Arabidopsis thaliana: one gene and its partners. The protein of the gene in region 3 interacts with the protein of the main gene of each other region in a pairwise test. Each region holds a gene or a part of one and is shown on either strand. Other genes may lie near its edges. The genes, in order: DiT1, AT3G62400 and ERDL6.

Region 1 (5,100 bases), on a different chromosome or scaffold from region 3:
GGTCGGTTGAGAAAATCTCATTCCTTGGCTAATAACCCAAACAGGGAAGCAGATGTTTCATGGGCTCAGCAGATGTTAAAAGACTCTTCATCACCTAGGAACGGAAACCGTGTTGTGAACATGAATGGTGCAAGGCCATTGACTCAAGGTGGTTCGAGTGTGAATCCTCACAACAGTGACACTCGTGAGAGCGACATTCTTGATGCGTGGCTTGAACAGCTGCACCTAGATCGCTGAGCCTCAGCTGCGAGAGAGAGGTTCACATTTCTGTGAAGCTGTGAAACTGATGATTCGTTTATTTATTATTCAAGAAAGCAAACGGAAACAAAAGCAAACTCCGGGTAAGCTTTTTTCGATTCTAATAACCCTAAAAGGCTCAGTTTTTTCAGGCTTCTTTCTGAAATTTCTTTACTTTCTTATTTTTATCACCTCATTAAATTAATTATTGTATCATCTCTGTTGTAACAATGGCCAAAGTGCGCCTCTATTACTTCCCGGATTTCTGATTTACATTTTTTGTATCCTCTCAGTTTGTCAATTGTTTCTAATATCTCCTTCATATTTGTCAAAGAACACTGTATGAGAAATAATAACATATTGTTTCAGCTAATAAGATTCATTCATTTCCTATTGCTTTCTCTGCTTTCCTGTTTTTTCCACTAAACTTTAACCAGCGATTCATAGACTAATAGACATTAATCTCTCAACTAACACGTTTATGGAAGTCGAGTAACTATCAAGTAAAGTGGTGGTCTCACTTTGAAACAGTAAAGTTAGAAATCAAACAAAATTGACGCAAGTTAAGATTGCTTACACTTCAAAATGTGTGTGAGTGAGAATAAAAATTGCAGAAAAACTCTGCTCAATCCTTATAACCCTGATTTCAATCCTTCTCAAATCTGAATCTCAAAGCCGTTCTAAGAGATTATATATATAAGTAAGGAAAAGAATGGGAAGATTGGTGTATGGTGGTCCTCACCACAAGCCAATGAACTTCCACCAGGCACCACCTACACCAAGCCAGATGAGAATGTTGACTATTGAAATCAGGAATCCATAGCCCCACCATTTAGCCAGCGGCACGTAGTTAGCTCCGTAGAAGATAGGCGCAGACCCGATACCATAATGGGTCAATCCTCCCATCAGGTTGGAAAGGAACGCAAGAACCAAGGCTGCAAAGTAAGGTGGAGTGCCTAGAGCGGTTGAAACCGATAAAAAGGCAGTGAACATAGCACCAATGTGGGCAGCTCCACTAGCAAAGAAGTAGTGAGTGTAGAAATACAAGAGGACGAGGATTCCAAAAGATAGCTGCCATGACAAACCCAATCCTCCCACAAACTGCAATCAAAACCCAAACAATGTCAAAACATTTCATTAGCATGCTAAGTCATTAGGCTTATTAAGCATTCATCAAATCATTTAACAAACCTTGACTACGGTCTGGCTGAACCACTCAATGAGACCATATTTGTTAAGATAACCAGCCATCGCAATGAGAGCAGCGAACCAGGTGAGTGTGTCCCATGCGACCGACTCAGCTAAGCACTCTTTCCATGTCACAACACCTGTCACAAGAAGGACTGATAATCCAAGAATGGCTGCAGTCACAGCATCTACACCCAACTTAGCTCCAAAGATCCAGAGACCAACCTGTGTCAAGGAGAACACTTTTTTAGAAAAGGAAAACCTTCTCTGTAATAAAACACCAAAACCACAAACATTTTCACTCAAAGCAAATGCATTAAACAGAAGCAAAGCCCTAGCTTAATCTAAGGAGCTACAATAGCTAAAATCTCTCAATGTTCAATACTGAAGCACCTTTCAAATCAAGCTCTCACCATAAGTAAGAACAGATCCGATGAAGCAGAAGCACACTTACCGTGAGGAATAAAGTGGCAGCCATAATCAATTCGTTCTTAGACATAGGTCCCATCTTGTCAAGCTTTTCCTGAGCCAGCTTAGGAGCATCAGGACTGCTCTTCACCGTAGGAGGATAGATGAGATACAAAAGAAACGGAACAACAATCAAAGACACAAGTCCTGGTACAATCGCAGCTTTAGCCCAATCAGTCCATCCAATCGTCTGCTTAATCGTGTTAAACGCCAAATTAGCACTCAAAGGATTCGCAGCCATAGCCGTCAAGAACATAGAAGAAGAGATCACAGAAGTCTGGAAACAAGTAAGCATCAACCACGAGCCAAGACGGTGCTCTGTTCCATCCCCAACGTTACTCCCACAAGCAACACAGAGAGATTTCACCAACGGGAGAAAGATTCCACCGGCACGAGCCGAGACAGAAGGAATCGCCGGAGCTAAAAGAGCTTCACTGAAGACGAGACTGTAACCGAGACCAAGGGAGGAGCTACCGAAGAGTCTAACGAACTGGTAAGCTACACGGTTACCGAGACCGGTTTTGATGAAACCGCGAGCGAAGAAGAAGGCAAGAGCGATGAGCCACGGGATTGGATCTCCGAAAGCGGAGAACGCGGCGGCGAACGTTAGGGTTTTGGTGAGAACGGAAGCTCCTAATCCCATTAGAGCAACAGCACCGAGAGGAAGCGGCTGAGTGATGATCCCGACGATGGTGGCGAGGAAGATCGCGAGTAATTGCCACGCGTTGCGAGTGACACCTTCGGGGACTGGAACGAACCATAGAATCAAACCAGTAGCGATCGAAGCGAGAAGAGGCTTAATGGCAGCTCCTTGCCATGGAACCGGAGCTGGAACCAAAGGAGGAGTTGGAGAAGAGGAAGCTGAAGCGACGGTGGAAGAGGCTTTAACGAGAGTTGATGATCTCCGGCGTAAAGAGACGGGAAGTGGAGATTTGAGTAAGGAGAAGCGAGAATCGAGAGATCGGAGAGGTTTCGTCAAATTGAGAGAGGAAGAAGGAGGACGAGGGAGAGAGAGAGATCGAGATTTGAGAGGGAAAGCGAGAGAGCAGGAGCCGGAGAGAGCGAGAGACGCCATGGTTGTAGCGTCGTCGGCGAGAGAGAGGTGTGAAGAGGAGAGGGAAGTGAAGAAGGAAATGAGTAAGAAGAGGAAAGAGAGAGTTGGATAAATGTTGACCGTTGGATTGGAATCGGACGGTGAGATTAAGAAAAGGAATATACGGACAAGAGTGAGAGAGAGTGATGATGAGATGAGATCGTGAGGTGAGAAATAGAGATCTCCGTCTTTGGTGGGTCAGTCACCTCATCCTATTGGCTGAAATATTTACGAAAAGCCATTTTGGGTTTGGGTTTGGTCTTTTTAGATCGACGAAACATACAAAGCAAAATCCTTCACTCAACAAATTTTCTATTGATTTATTAGCTTTGTTTTTTGGTTTTGAAAGATCTTAAACTATGCGTTTACTAGTGGATCGTCCAATGAAAGATTAACTGGCAATAGAATAGTAGCTTTCATTACATTGTCCAAGATGGGCCGAGATGGCTTCGCTTGGAATTAAATCTAGTGTAAACCCTTAAGCGGCCTCTCGTTTTTTTTTCTTTGAGTGTTATATGGTTCATAGTTTTGATTTGTTTGTTTAGAGTAAGGTGTGACATCAAATATTGAATACATGATTCTTTTATGTAAGAGGATACTTTCTAATGTGAATGTCTAAGAAAGTTACCAAATGTTTTAAAGTACATTCAATAAAACAAAATGTTCAGTTTTATCCAAAGATATAACATCAGAAAAACTTTCATTTAATTAGTTCAATCTTCTCCATTGCTACTTGATTACAAAATTCTTCAAGTGTTTGCCCCTGTTATATTAAAGAATGTATGTGCTTATTATTTCTTTTATTTATTTATTATAGGATATATGTTTTACATTGACTAATCATTACATGGCACCTCAAGGCTCAAGCCCTAGTACGAAAAGATTATTCGAAATACAAAATACTCTCTAACAATGTATATATATTTGCATTTATGTGTGTGTGGCTAAGAATCTTGAGTATAAACCGCAATAGAAAAAAGAATAAGATGACGTAAAAATATTCATATGCTTTGTTTGAAGTTGAAGTAAAACGAAGGAACCTCAGTGTTCATCAACTGGTCAAGGTCCCAAAATTCTTCCACTGGTCTCATACCCTCAGGTGCGTTTCCGGATCCATTAGTGTTCAACTCGTCTAAGTGGTTGTTTATATTTGCATTGTACCAATCACCTTCTTCACATTCCAAAGGTGGGAAGTAGAGTTCCCCTTGTACCCCTGCGTTTACTCCATAGATACCATCTACATAAGGGGTAAAATCGTCATTGCACGGGTGGCTGATCATGTTTCCCGTTGGAAATGGATTGTTGGTTTGTATGTGGGTCAAGGAAGGGTTGACGAAGCCTTGTTCTTGTAAGGACATGAAGCTTCCTATAATGTCTTTAATATCCAAAGAAGATGCGGAATTAGAAGAGGAATCGCTTGCTGTGTTGGGTGATGAGGATGAGTTGTTGATTAAGTTGGAGGTATCGGACATCTTCTTTAGCCTTTTCTTTATTGTTGAGTTCCAGAAATTCTTGATCTCGTTATCGGTCCGACCAGGCAATCGTGCTGCAATCTGAGACCACCTATGAAATCGAAGAATAAGAGAGTAGAATAGTTTAATGAGATGATGTTATGTAAAATGTATACCAGTGCATGGTTTGCATGGGAATTAGAGAGTGATCCGTTCTTCATGTTTTTTATGTTTGAGTACGTGAAAAAGAGGCAATATATCAACAATTATAAAATTGCACAATCATATTAAGCAATAAAATGACATTATACACACTGCGTGTTTTGAATTGAATCTATATATATATATATATATATATATATATATATATATATATATATAAATAGAGAGGAAACATGTCCTGCGTAAAAAACACTAGAACGTATATTTCTGGAGAAAGTGACAAAAAAAGGAACTAATAAATATATAATTACAAAGATGAAAGTTGAAGTAAAACCCTAAGGAAGAGAAGAAAAGGTGTGTAAAGTGACAAAAGCCGCTTTCACTAAAATAAGTGTTTGTTGTTAGATAAGATCATAAGACGCACTCTAAGTCTTAAAACCCACGATCAACGAACTTTGACCACTCACATAATTACATGTGAATGTACTCATACCTATTTTG
Region 2 (3,439 bases), on a different chromosome or scaffold from region 3:
ATCAGCCTTCTTCTTGTCTCTAGCATGGCTAGCTGCTGCGCTAAGTTCTTCAACCTCGTCCCACGCAGCTACACACTCTCCACTCACAGGATCGCCCGCACAAGTCTCCTGAGCTTCCTTAATGCTTTTCTCCACTACGTCCGATATCCCTCCTTCCGGTGCTGCTTTAATCGGCTGAAGTTTCATCATCCGGTTAGTTGTTCTTGACCCAAGATTCCACGAATTGTTCAAATGGACCGGACCGGCGAGACAAACTGGCCGATTCTCGCTGGTGACGAAGACACGCTGGGTTGCAATGTTAAGACCAGTAGCTATAGTTGCCATCTTTGGATGGAGAAGGTACACGGCAGCCTGTGAATATAGTTTTTGATAAAAGAAGATAGTTCAGATAATTGGGAGGGAACAAGATATATGAAGTGTGCGTGAATTTAATTCTGTGAACCCCATTTCTTATCCTCTATTAACCAACAATTAAGTTCCACGTATTTGATATCGTTTATGAAGCAGTACGATGTTGAAAATTTGCAGCCATCCAAGCCGTTTTCTAAGATACAAGTGCCTGTTGCGTATTTTATCCAAAAAAGATGAGAAAAAATAAGCTGGTAAGTATAATAAAATGATCACACACTGTTTAAGGAAAAGTCAAGACAGATGTCTCAAGTTTCAACCACTGTATCTCCGGAAAACAATGTGTTAACAAATATCCAATTTTGATGTCTGAGTGGTTGTTTATTTCTCAAGCAACCAACTTTCTTAGGTAACTTATCTGAGATCTCAAGAAACCATAAAAACAGAAAAATCGAGCCAACAACATTGAGAGTGAGAGAGAGGCATTCCCATTCACTCTTCAGAGGCGACAACACCGATCTCACCTCTCTCAAGCAAATCATAGAAAGTTCTAGTTTTCCTCTGCTCATTCCAATGGTGCATCTTCCAGAGACCACCAGCAGCTAAACCAAGCGTCAAACCAATAATCAATTCCTTGACAACACTCGGGCCTTTCAATGTGGCATGCGCAACCTTGTGTCCTGCCATTTCTTCTCAACCTAGCACACATTTTAATCATAGAGTCAATACTAACATAATTGATACTTTCACAATGCTCACGATTCCTAAAGCTGAAAACTTTATTGACAACCAATAAAACATCTATACACACACACACACTAATCTACCTGATCTCTTAATTTCTACTGGTTTGCACTTGGAGTCTATATATACACATAAACATGTACAATTTCGATCCATTTTCTGTCTAACCTCTTAACTACGTCTCTATTCAAAGGAAGATATCAAAGGCTTTGAATTTATTCCCAAAATGATACAAGAACCCTAATCCACAGGATCCAGATACTGAAAATAAAATTGGCATTTCTCCCGAAGAAAAGGATTAACGTTTCAAAGCATCACAACACTAAGAGCATCAAATCTAAATCAACGGAAGATTTAAACGAGAAATTCCGATCTTAAGCACACCGATCTACACGGGAAAAAAAACGAGAAATGGATTCGAATCTGATAAAAATTAATCGTAACTTCACAATCCGCCACCTATCTATAACGAAAATCACCACAAAATCATAAAGGAAACAACAATTATCATCAAGGGAAGAATATGGACTTTACCGAGTCAGATTGTGTAGATGAACGAGACAGAAGCTCACGACGAAAACGAAATGGTGGGTGATTGAAGAAGTTGCGTAAGCAGATAATCACTTCTCTACTCCATTTGTGTCTTATTGGGCCTTAAACATGGGCCTGATCTCTTATTTCTTCAATGGGCATTTTATGGAATTTGCTTTTTAAAAAAGTAAACCATTCGCTGCTCGTGTTCCCCGAGTGTGTCCCACCACGTTAATAATGCCAAATCCAATCTGTCAACACACTAAACTAATTTCCTAATCCTGAACTTTTTTAAATAATCATTATCTTTCCCTCTGTTCCGTTAATTATTGTAAAATTCATGAGCTCACGAGTTTGTAAGAACGTCATTATCATTTCTTCACCGAATCTCTCCTCTATACCCCACTAATTCAACCACCTTTGTCGACTCCAAAATTTCAATCCTTTTCTCAAACAGTTCCATTTTTCGATTTCAAATTTCTCTGATTACAGATAATTATGAAACTGTTTTTTCTTAACTAACTTATAACAGTTACAGAGAAAAAATAAATAAAGAGATAGAAGATGGAGAGACAAAGAAGTTTCTCTGTGAAGTCCACAAGAGTCTTAGCATTCATCATCACAATAATCTCTTCCGCCATTGTTTTCTTCACTTTCTTCTCCTCTTCCTTACTCAAATCTAACTCTTCTCTTTACCCAACACCAGAAGCTAACTTCCAGATCGATTTAAGCCCTATTGCCGCCATTTCCGATTCTTCAGTTTCTCCTCAAGCAAGTCCGATTCTGATCTCTACCCATTTCAATTCACCCGAAAACACTTCCGGGTCTTCAAAAATTTCTGTTTTTGAGCAGAAGATTAGCGGCGAGAGTTTGGTTAAGGAAGTTAGGGAAATTGCTAATTTAACTTCGATTAAAGTGATTGAACTTCCGAGCAACAATGGTGAAGATAAGAAGACAGAGAAGAGAATCGAAGAATGTGATGTTACGAAAGGGAAGTGGGTTTACGATAGTGATTATCCATTGTACACAAATGCGTCTTGTCCTTTTATCGATGAAGGATTTGGTTGTCAAAGCAATGGAAGATTGGATCTTAATTACATGAATTGGAGATGGGAGCCTCAGGATTGTCATGCTCCCAGGTTTAATTTCTTCTTTCTAATTTTGTTGTTTTCCTCGTAGGCCTTTAAGAAGATCTCTCTATTGAAGTAGTAGTGGTTGGTGATAGTGACTGATGATGATAAGTGGGATTCATAGTTCCACTGAGCACTTAATCTCTCTGAATAAGTAGGAATGCAATTCATGGTCCTGAATTGGAAATTGTGGTATGTGTGAGTTTAGGTTCAATGCTACAAAGATGCTGGAAATGATTAGAGGCAAGAGGCTAGTGTTCGTTGGAGATTCAATTAATAGGAACCAATGGGAATCTATGCTTTGTTTGTTGTTTCAAGCTGTTAAAGATCCCAAGAGAGTATACGAAACGCACAACCGAAGAATCACCAAAGAGAAAGGGAATTATAGCTTCCGTTTCGTGGTACAATATGACTTTAATCTTAATGGACCATTAAGTGTATTTCAGGCGTGTGGTTGTGTTAATGTCATGTTTGTGTACTTGACTAGGATTATAAATGCACTGTGGAATTCTATGTTACTCATTTCTTGGTTCGTGAGGGTAGAGCAAGAATAGGAAAGAAGCGAAGAGAAACACTTAGAATCGATGCTATGGATCGAACCTCTTCCAGATGGAAAGGTGCTAATATCTTAGTGTTCAATACAGCTCATTGGTGGTCTCATTACAAAACCAAATCAGGGTCAGTAC
Region 3 (6,397 bases):
AGCTAGTTTCAGTTTCAATCTGTTACGACTTCTCATGTTATGTGGGCCGTGGAAACTGCAGTTTCACAAGGTCTGGGGGCAACTGATGAAAACTGGCTACCAGAGTTCTCGATTTGCTCATCAGGTAAATACGGTTTATATTTTGCTTTCTTATGTGGTGTTTTGCGATTGTGGGGAATAACTTTTTCCAAACTGCATTATCTTCGAATCATCAGGTGGAAAGATTCGCATGCCTGTACACAAGCCAAGTCTCAAACCTACGCTTGTACTCACCAGACAAGTATTACAGACCCAGTGAAGACTTCATGTCCCATGAATTTCACCTTCTTCCTCTGTGATTCAGCCCAATGACCTCTATAGCAGTGAGAGAGTAAATCCAGTAATGGTCTGGTTTGGTACTTATTCTTAGTGTCTATAAACATTTCTTAGTTTCTCTTGCCTATTTGCATTTCAATTTCACTTGGTACAAGCTTGCGACTCTAGTGACATGTTATCTTTTGGAAATTTGTATTGAATGTCGATGATATTCCTTAAAGAGGCATTTCAGTGTTTACAAAACTTCATATTGATTGATCATATTTGGACCAAATCTCTACTATCCCCCAAGTTTTGTTTCCTAGTAACCTCAGTTACTGCTGGGCTAGCAACTTCTTACCAGTGGGTTTGCTTTTTCTTGCTGTTGAGTTAAATTTCTTGATCATCATATTAAAACCCTTGGGAGCTTTTCTGGCAATGTCGATGTTCATAATGCTCTCTCTTGGCAAAACCTTTGCTCTATGTAAAGAGTTCAATAAAATTACAAATACTTGAATGTAGTATGTTGATATACATGTGATAGAAGATAATGCGATTATTGACACACAACGAACAAACAAACAAATCTTAGTAACGTTCTCAGCCCAATTAACAAAGCTGGAAAATCTCTTGTTTCTTCTTGTTCTTGGCCAAAACAGAGAGGGAGAGAGAGGGTGACAAAGAATGAAGTTGTTTCAATTTGTTCATCTGAACAAGGATTGAAGTTCTTCAAGAGTTTTGCCTTTGGTCTCAGGAACCCATAGAGTCACGAACACCACTGTGAATGCACAAACCAATCCATACAGAGTGAAAGTTCCTGTCCAATATTAACCCAAAAATCCATCAAGATAATGCTCTATTGTCCCAAATGGTATGAGAGAAAGAGAAAAGAAGAGAAAGAGAGAAAGGAACCTCCACTGCTCCAGGCTAACAGCAAATTTGCTGTCATGGTGATCAACCAAGAAAAGAACCAATTGGCTAGAGTTGCAATACTTCCAGCTAAACCCTTTATGTTCACAGGAAGGATCTGTTTATCAAACAACAAACAAAGCAAGCAAAGGTAGAGTTCAATAAGTTTTTCGCTTTTCGGTTCTTACAACACTTAGTTCTAACTTCTAACCAACTCATTACCTCAGACATAATGAGCCACGGTATTGGTCCCATTCCCAATGAGAAAAAGACAACCATTGCCTATAACGATTCAACAGAGTTAAGGCACAAATAATCATTCATTGCATTCTAGAAAGTTCCGCTATATAACTAACTTACCACAACTCCAACTACTGACAATATGCTCAGCCAACTGTACATGTCTGAATCAGGAGACACAAATTCCTAAAAGAAGAGATGTAAAACTCAGAAAGTCGAATCTTGGATTTGTTGCAGAAGATGAAATGATGTGTATGGAAGTTCAAGATTTTAAAAAGTACCTTAAGATAGAAAGCAGCTGCAACAATTACAAGGCTAATCGTCATCCCAACCGAAGAGATCTGGAAAATATTTTCCATTTGCATTAGTTAATCTTGGATATGTCTTAAATCTTTCTGTAGAGGGAAGTCGGAAAGATATGAAAGTAATGAGTTAATACTCACAGTAAGCAGAAGCCGACGACCTGCTTTGTCCACCAACCAAGTGGATATTGCAGTCGCTACTACCTGAATAGCCCCGACCCCAAATGTTGCTGCGTTACTCGATGTAACTCCTAAACATGAAAACACGGAAAATGAAAAATTAAAGTAATAATATGAAACAAGAAGCTTCAGGTGTTAGAAAAACCCTACCTGCAGATTCAAATATTGTACTGGAATAGAATAGGACACCATTAATTCCACCAAGTTGTTGAAGTACAAGCAACCCTATACCAACCTGTTACACACACACACACGACAAAAAAGAAGTTTTAAGATAATGTTTCTTATGATAGACAAAGTATATTCCAAGGAAAGATATTCAATATTTGTACCATAAGTGGGAAATAGTATCTCCTGCGTTTGAGATCTACAAACCGAACTGTATTTCGCTTTGTAGATGATGCCACAGATCTCTGCAGATTTGCAGAAAAGATGAAAAATTAGCGTTTGAAAACCAGTCTTCATGTAACTCTTGGAAGGAAAGATTTTAAGTGGTAGTGTTACCTTGATTTCATTAACTTCAACGGTAATATCAGTCTCAAATCCTCGAAGAACTTGTAATGAAGTTTCAAATTCATCTGTCATACCCATTTTTGCCTACATTTTAACGAAATCAAGTATCCCATCAGAGATGATTAATGATGTTATTAAAAAAAAAAAAAAGAGTGGAGTAACCAAAATATGCACTAAACTCAAGAAGAATAAGCAAACTACTGTAAGGCTTACCAGCCAGCGAGGGGATTCGGGGATGAAAAAGAGACCTGGTATCAATAATGTACACGGCAATATCCCTAAAGATAAAGGAAGAGAACAGAGAAAGTGATTAGAGCGTAGCAATTATTCATAATCACAAAATAGTCTCAGGCCGTGTAATGAGATTTTACCCAGAACTGCAAGAATTCTCCATGGAACAAAGAGGCCAAGTAAATACGCCAACATTATTCCAATTGTCACAGAAAGCTACAGCAAGAAGTTACACAACATTTCTTGTTTAGCATTACGAGTCAGTACACAAAAGTCAAAACAGGAATTAGTCACTACACATGTCTAACCTGGTTAACCGAACCCAATCCTCCTCTCATATTTTGTGGAGCTATCTCAGCGATATATACAGGTACCTAAAATCACGAACCGAGTTGCATTAATATACTGAACCGTTATTCCATAAGTAAATAGCTAGTTAAGTTCAGTATTACAGTGTAAGAGATGATCCCAACGCCAAAGCCTTCTAAAAGTCTTCCCATGTAAAGAAAAGAAGTATCCTACAAAACCAGAATGATGTAAAGAGTTAAAGTCAAGCAACACAATCAAATCGCCAATTTATGGTATGAGAACGACAAAAACTCACTTTTGCAAATGATATGCAAAGCCATCCAATGATATTGGGAATTGCAGCAATCATAAGAGACTGTCCAAGAAAACACAATAAGATGTTTAGAACGCAAGAAAGAGGACTTTATAAAATGGATCTAAAACAGAACGATCAAGAATCAGATAACAAAGTATACCCCTTTTCGTCCAATGTATTCTGCAATCTGACCACTGGCAATTGCACCAACCATAGCACCCACATTGGAAAGAGAACCAAACACAGAGTACTAAAACATGGAGTGGTACATCAAAGTCAAACACGGCTAAACAAGCAATGATAAAAACCAGACAGCTCTAGACAATGATCAGTCCATTACCTCAGATACTGTTAAACCGAGATCCTTGGTGATTGCAGCTTGAGTTGGAGATGAATAACCACACTGAACAAAAGGATGGAGGGTTTAAGGACCAAACACAGAGTACTAAAAGATGGTGATCAAAGTCAAACATGGAAGGTTTAAGCAAACAATCAGAAATTCCCAATTCAAAGTCCTCTAAATCTGTCAGCAAACTTGAAAAAATCATCTCGGTTCACCAAATATGAGATTTTCAAATCACCAGACTTGCATTGAAAATGACAAATCAAACCAAACCCAAGATCATCAAATCCAGCTCACACTAGTTTTTCCACCAAAAGTCACACCTTTCTTCTACAAAGGGAATAAAAATGTAAAAAAAGTTGAGATTTTGAATTTGTCTTACAGTGAATCCGAATTGAATAGGGCCAAGAGCAACGATCAAAACACATGCAAGAACAGAGATAGAGCTGTCTCGAATAACTTGAGAGGAACCCATCATACTCGATTGTCTCGAACCCATCCGGTACCAGCTTCCGGTGTGAATAAACGGCCGACGCAAATCATTCCTAGCCTCCTCATTATCATCCCTGAAACTCATCTTTTGATTCTATCTTCTACAGTTTCTCAAATCCTAATCTACAAATCTTTCTTTATATCTTCAAGAACAAACAAAAAAGCTTCACTATTTAGCCCCCCTGGAGGTAAAATGCCTATTCTAAGCCGGAAAATGCCAAAAAAGAGCCGACTTTGGACTTTGTAACTCAATTTGGAAGATCTAATGAATTTGATGACGGAGCTTTGCTTGGATAAGAACGGATTGAGAGAGAAATGCCGTCTTATTAAAAAAAAAAAAACGAAAAAGGATTTGGGTCTATACGGCTGTAATGTAGTGTTTAATTGCTGGAGAGAAGAAGAATTATTTAGACTGCTTCAGGCATTTTTTTTTAGATCACAGTTCCAGTCGTCGCATCAACCAAATTTAGACAAAAATAAATAGAAATATAGCTTTGCTTCTTTTTTTTTTTTTGGGATAATTGGATAATTTATTTTATTTTGGATTCTTTTCTCTTTTATTACCACTTGGCATGTTTTTTCCTAAAATTCTAAATTTTATTAAAATATATGCAATTATTTTGGTAATATTTCTGTAAATTCATAGGAATATGAGGTCTTCCAAAACCGGCTAATATTTAATAAAACATATCTCATAATTTTATGATTTTATGGAAATGTGTCCACTTGGATAAGACATCCACATCTTACTTACACGTTAACAGATAAGAGAAATAAAGTATACAAAGACAGAAAATCAAGAAGAAAAAAAATGATGAATGGAAGTGCAATAAAAATAGTAATGTATAGAATCCAAACAACATACATTATATAAAGTTGTTTGGGTCATTTAAGTGATTCTATAGCATGATCACAAAGAGATCAATCCAAAATTATTTGTTTGAATTGTATTTTAACTATTATAACTGAAATCATAGTTTATAATGGTATTTTTGCGTGTGTGAAAATTGATCTGTGTGGTGTGGTGTCAATTGATTTTTAAAAGCTTACATATCTCTCTTTTTTTTGAATATGCTGAATTTTTAAAATATTGTAAGTTTGTTTTACATCAATATCATATATTTATAACTTTCCTATCCACTAGTCAATTATACATCAATAATTTTCGTACCAATTGCAATAAATATAAATTGCAATGTTTATGGAGTTTGTCAAACATTTGCTCAAACTACCCCACGGAGAATACATGAGCAAAACGAGAGAAATGTAAGAGGAGGCCAACACAGAAAAAGACACATAATCAAATCAAATCACACCAAACACGTCTTTGTGATCTGATCTTACTGTCTCCATTCATCACTCATTTTTTCTTTCGTTGACCACAACTTTACAATATCTACTTTTTTTTTTTTCTTTTTTTTGAACTTTATAATATCTTCTTTACATATATAATTATAATTGATTAAGTCTCTTCTTTCCTCCACATTTTTCACATGTAAAATACTCCCATCAGATCTTATTATAAACATAAACATTACTCAATCAGATCTTTAGTCTATACGAAAAAAAATACATCAAATACTTTCTTTCCTTCTTTTTTTGGTGAAGACTATTTTCCTCGCTCACACAACCCAAAGACTAGTTCTTGACCTCTAATAAAATAACTGTAGGGTTTATTGAGCCCAATTTAAAGACCCAAGCAAAACCATATTGGGCTTATTAAGATAGGCCCATATTGAGGACGTCGGAGCGTGAAGGGCACTCTCATGAAAAGCGCGTTAGAGAAGAATTAACGTCAAGACCCGAGACGCAACTTCACTCGGTCGTGGCTAATTCTCCGATTAGGTTTTCGATTCTCTTCGTCTTCGTCTCTGAAGCGACCAAAAACCCTAATTCTATCAATTCGAAATCTTCAATTTCACATGGGTGAACATTCACCTTCTCAACCATCATCTCATACTCTTCCTCCAAACCAACCGGAATCACCCAATCACGAAACCCCTAATCCAATTCCACCGGAAACCAACGATGACGACTCCGCCTCATCCGCCGGAGTTTCTGGCTCAATCGTCTCATCAACCACCATTGAAGCACCACAAGTCACTGAATTAGGCAATGTATCGTCTCCACCTACCAAGATCCCTCTCCGTCCTCGAAAAATCAGAAAACTTTCACCCGACGACGACGCTTCCGACGGATTCAATCCGGAGCATAACCTTTCTCAGATGACGACGACGAAACCGGCAACGAAGAGTAAATTATCACAGTCACGCACTGTAACCGTGCCGA

What was found.
Region 1: the proteins of ERDL6 (region 3) and DiT1 interact in a protein complementation assay, tested with the Arabidopsis thaliana proteins (one large-scale study listed by BioGRID).
Region 2: the proteins of ERDL6 (region 3) and AT3G62400 interact in a protein complementation assay, tested with the Arabidopsis thaliana proteins (one large-scale study listed by BioGRID).

Annotation. Positions count from the first base shown.
Region 1 is NC_003076.8:4,058,952-4,064,051, forward strand, and holds DiT1 (dicarboxylate transporter 1), read right to left. Parts: upstream 3,339-5,100; 5' UTR 2,969-3,338; coding exon 1,880-2,968; intron 1,651-1,879; coding exon 1,429-1,650; intron 1,339-1,428; coding exon 976-1,338; 3' UTR 900-975; coding exon of another isoform or gene 899-899; 3' UTR 628-898; downstream 1-627. Other genes in the region: AT5G12850 (CCCH-type zinc finger protein with ARM repeat domain-containing protein), read left to right, coding at 1-237; MYB46 (myb domain protein 46), read right to left, coding at 3,988-4,549. UniProt on the Arabidopsis thaliana protein: 2-oxoglutarate/malate translocator involved with DIT2-1 in primary ammonia assimilation and in the re-assimilation of ammonia generated by the photorespiratory pathway.
Region 2 is NC_003074.8:23,087,891-23,091,329, reverse strand, and holds AT3G62400 (cytochrome C oxidase subunit), read right to left. Parts: upstream 1,735-3,439; 5' UTR 1,627-1,734; intron 1,047-1,626; 5' UTR 1,036-1,046; coding exon of another isoform or gene 918-1,035; coding exon 657-917; 3' UTR 509-656; downstream 1-508. Other genes in the region: CP12-2 (CP12 domain-containing protein 2), read right to left, coding at 1-324; TBL6 (TRICHOME BIREFRINGENCE-LIKE 6), read left to right, coding at 2,188-2,762, 2,962-3,154, 3,241-3,431. UniProt on the Arabidopsis thaliana protein: This protein is one of the nuclear-coded polypeptide chains of cytochrome c oxidase, the terminal oxidase in mitochondrial electron transport.
Region 3 is NC_003070.9:28,228,414-28,234,810, forward strand, and holds ERDL6 (Major facilitator superfamily protein), read right to left. Parts: upstream 4,722-6,397; 5' UTR 4,194-4,721; coding exon 3,999-4,193; intron 3,677-3,998; coding exon 3,614-3,676; intron 3,524-3,613; coding exon 3,434-3,523; intron 3,334-3,433; coding exon 3,274-3,333; intron 3,188-3,273; coding exon 3,122-3,187; intron 3,044-3,121; coding exon 2,978-3,043; intron 2,886-2,977; coding exon 2,810-2,885; intron 2,717-2,809; coding exon 2,652-2,716; intron 2,523-2,651; coding exon 2,430-2,522; intron 2,339-2,429; coding exon 2,258-2,338; intron 2,161-2,257; coding exon 2,076-2,160; intron 1,997-2,075; coding exon 1,887-1,996; intron 1,785-1,886; coding exon 1,725-1,784; intron 1,630-1,724; coding exon 1,564-1,629; intron 1,486-1,563; coding exon 1,426-1,485; intron 1,322-1,425; coding exon 1,207-1,321; intron 1,112-1,206; coding exon 999-1,111; 3' UTR 613-998; downstream 1-612. Other genes in the region: AT1G75210 (HAD-superfamily hydrolase, subfamily IG, 5'-nucleotidase), read left to right, coding at 62-124, 216-338; AT1G75230 (DNA glycosylase superfamily protein), read left to right, coding at 6,031-6,397. UniProt on the Arabidopsis thaliana protein: Sugar transporter.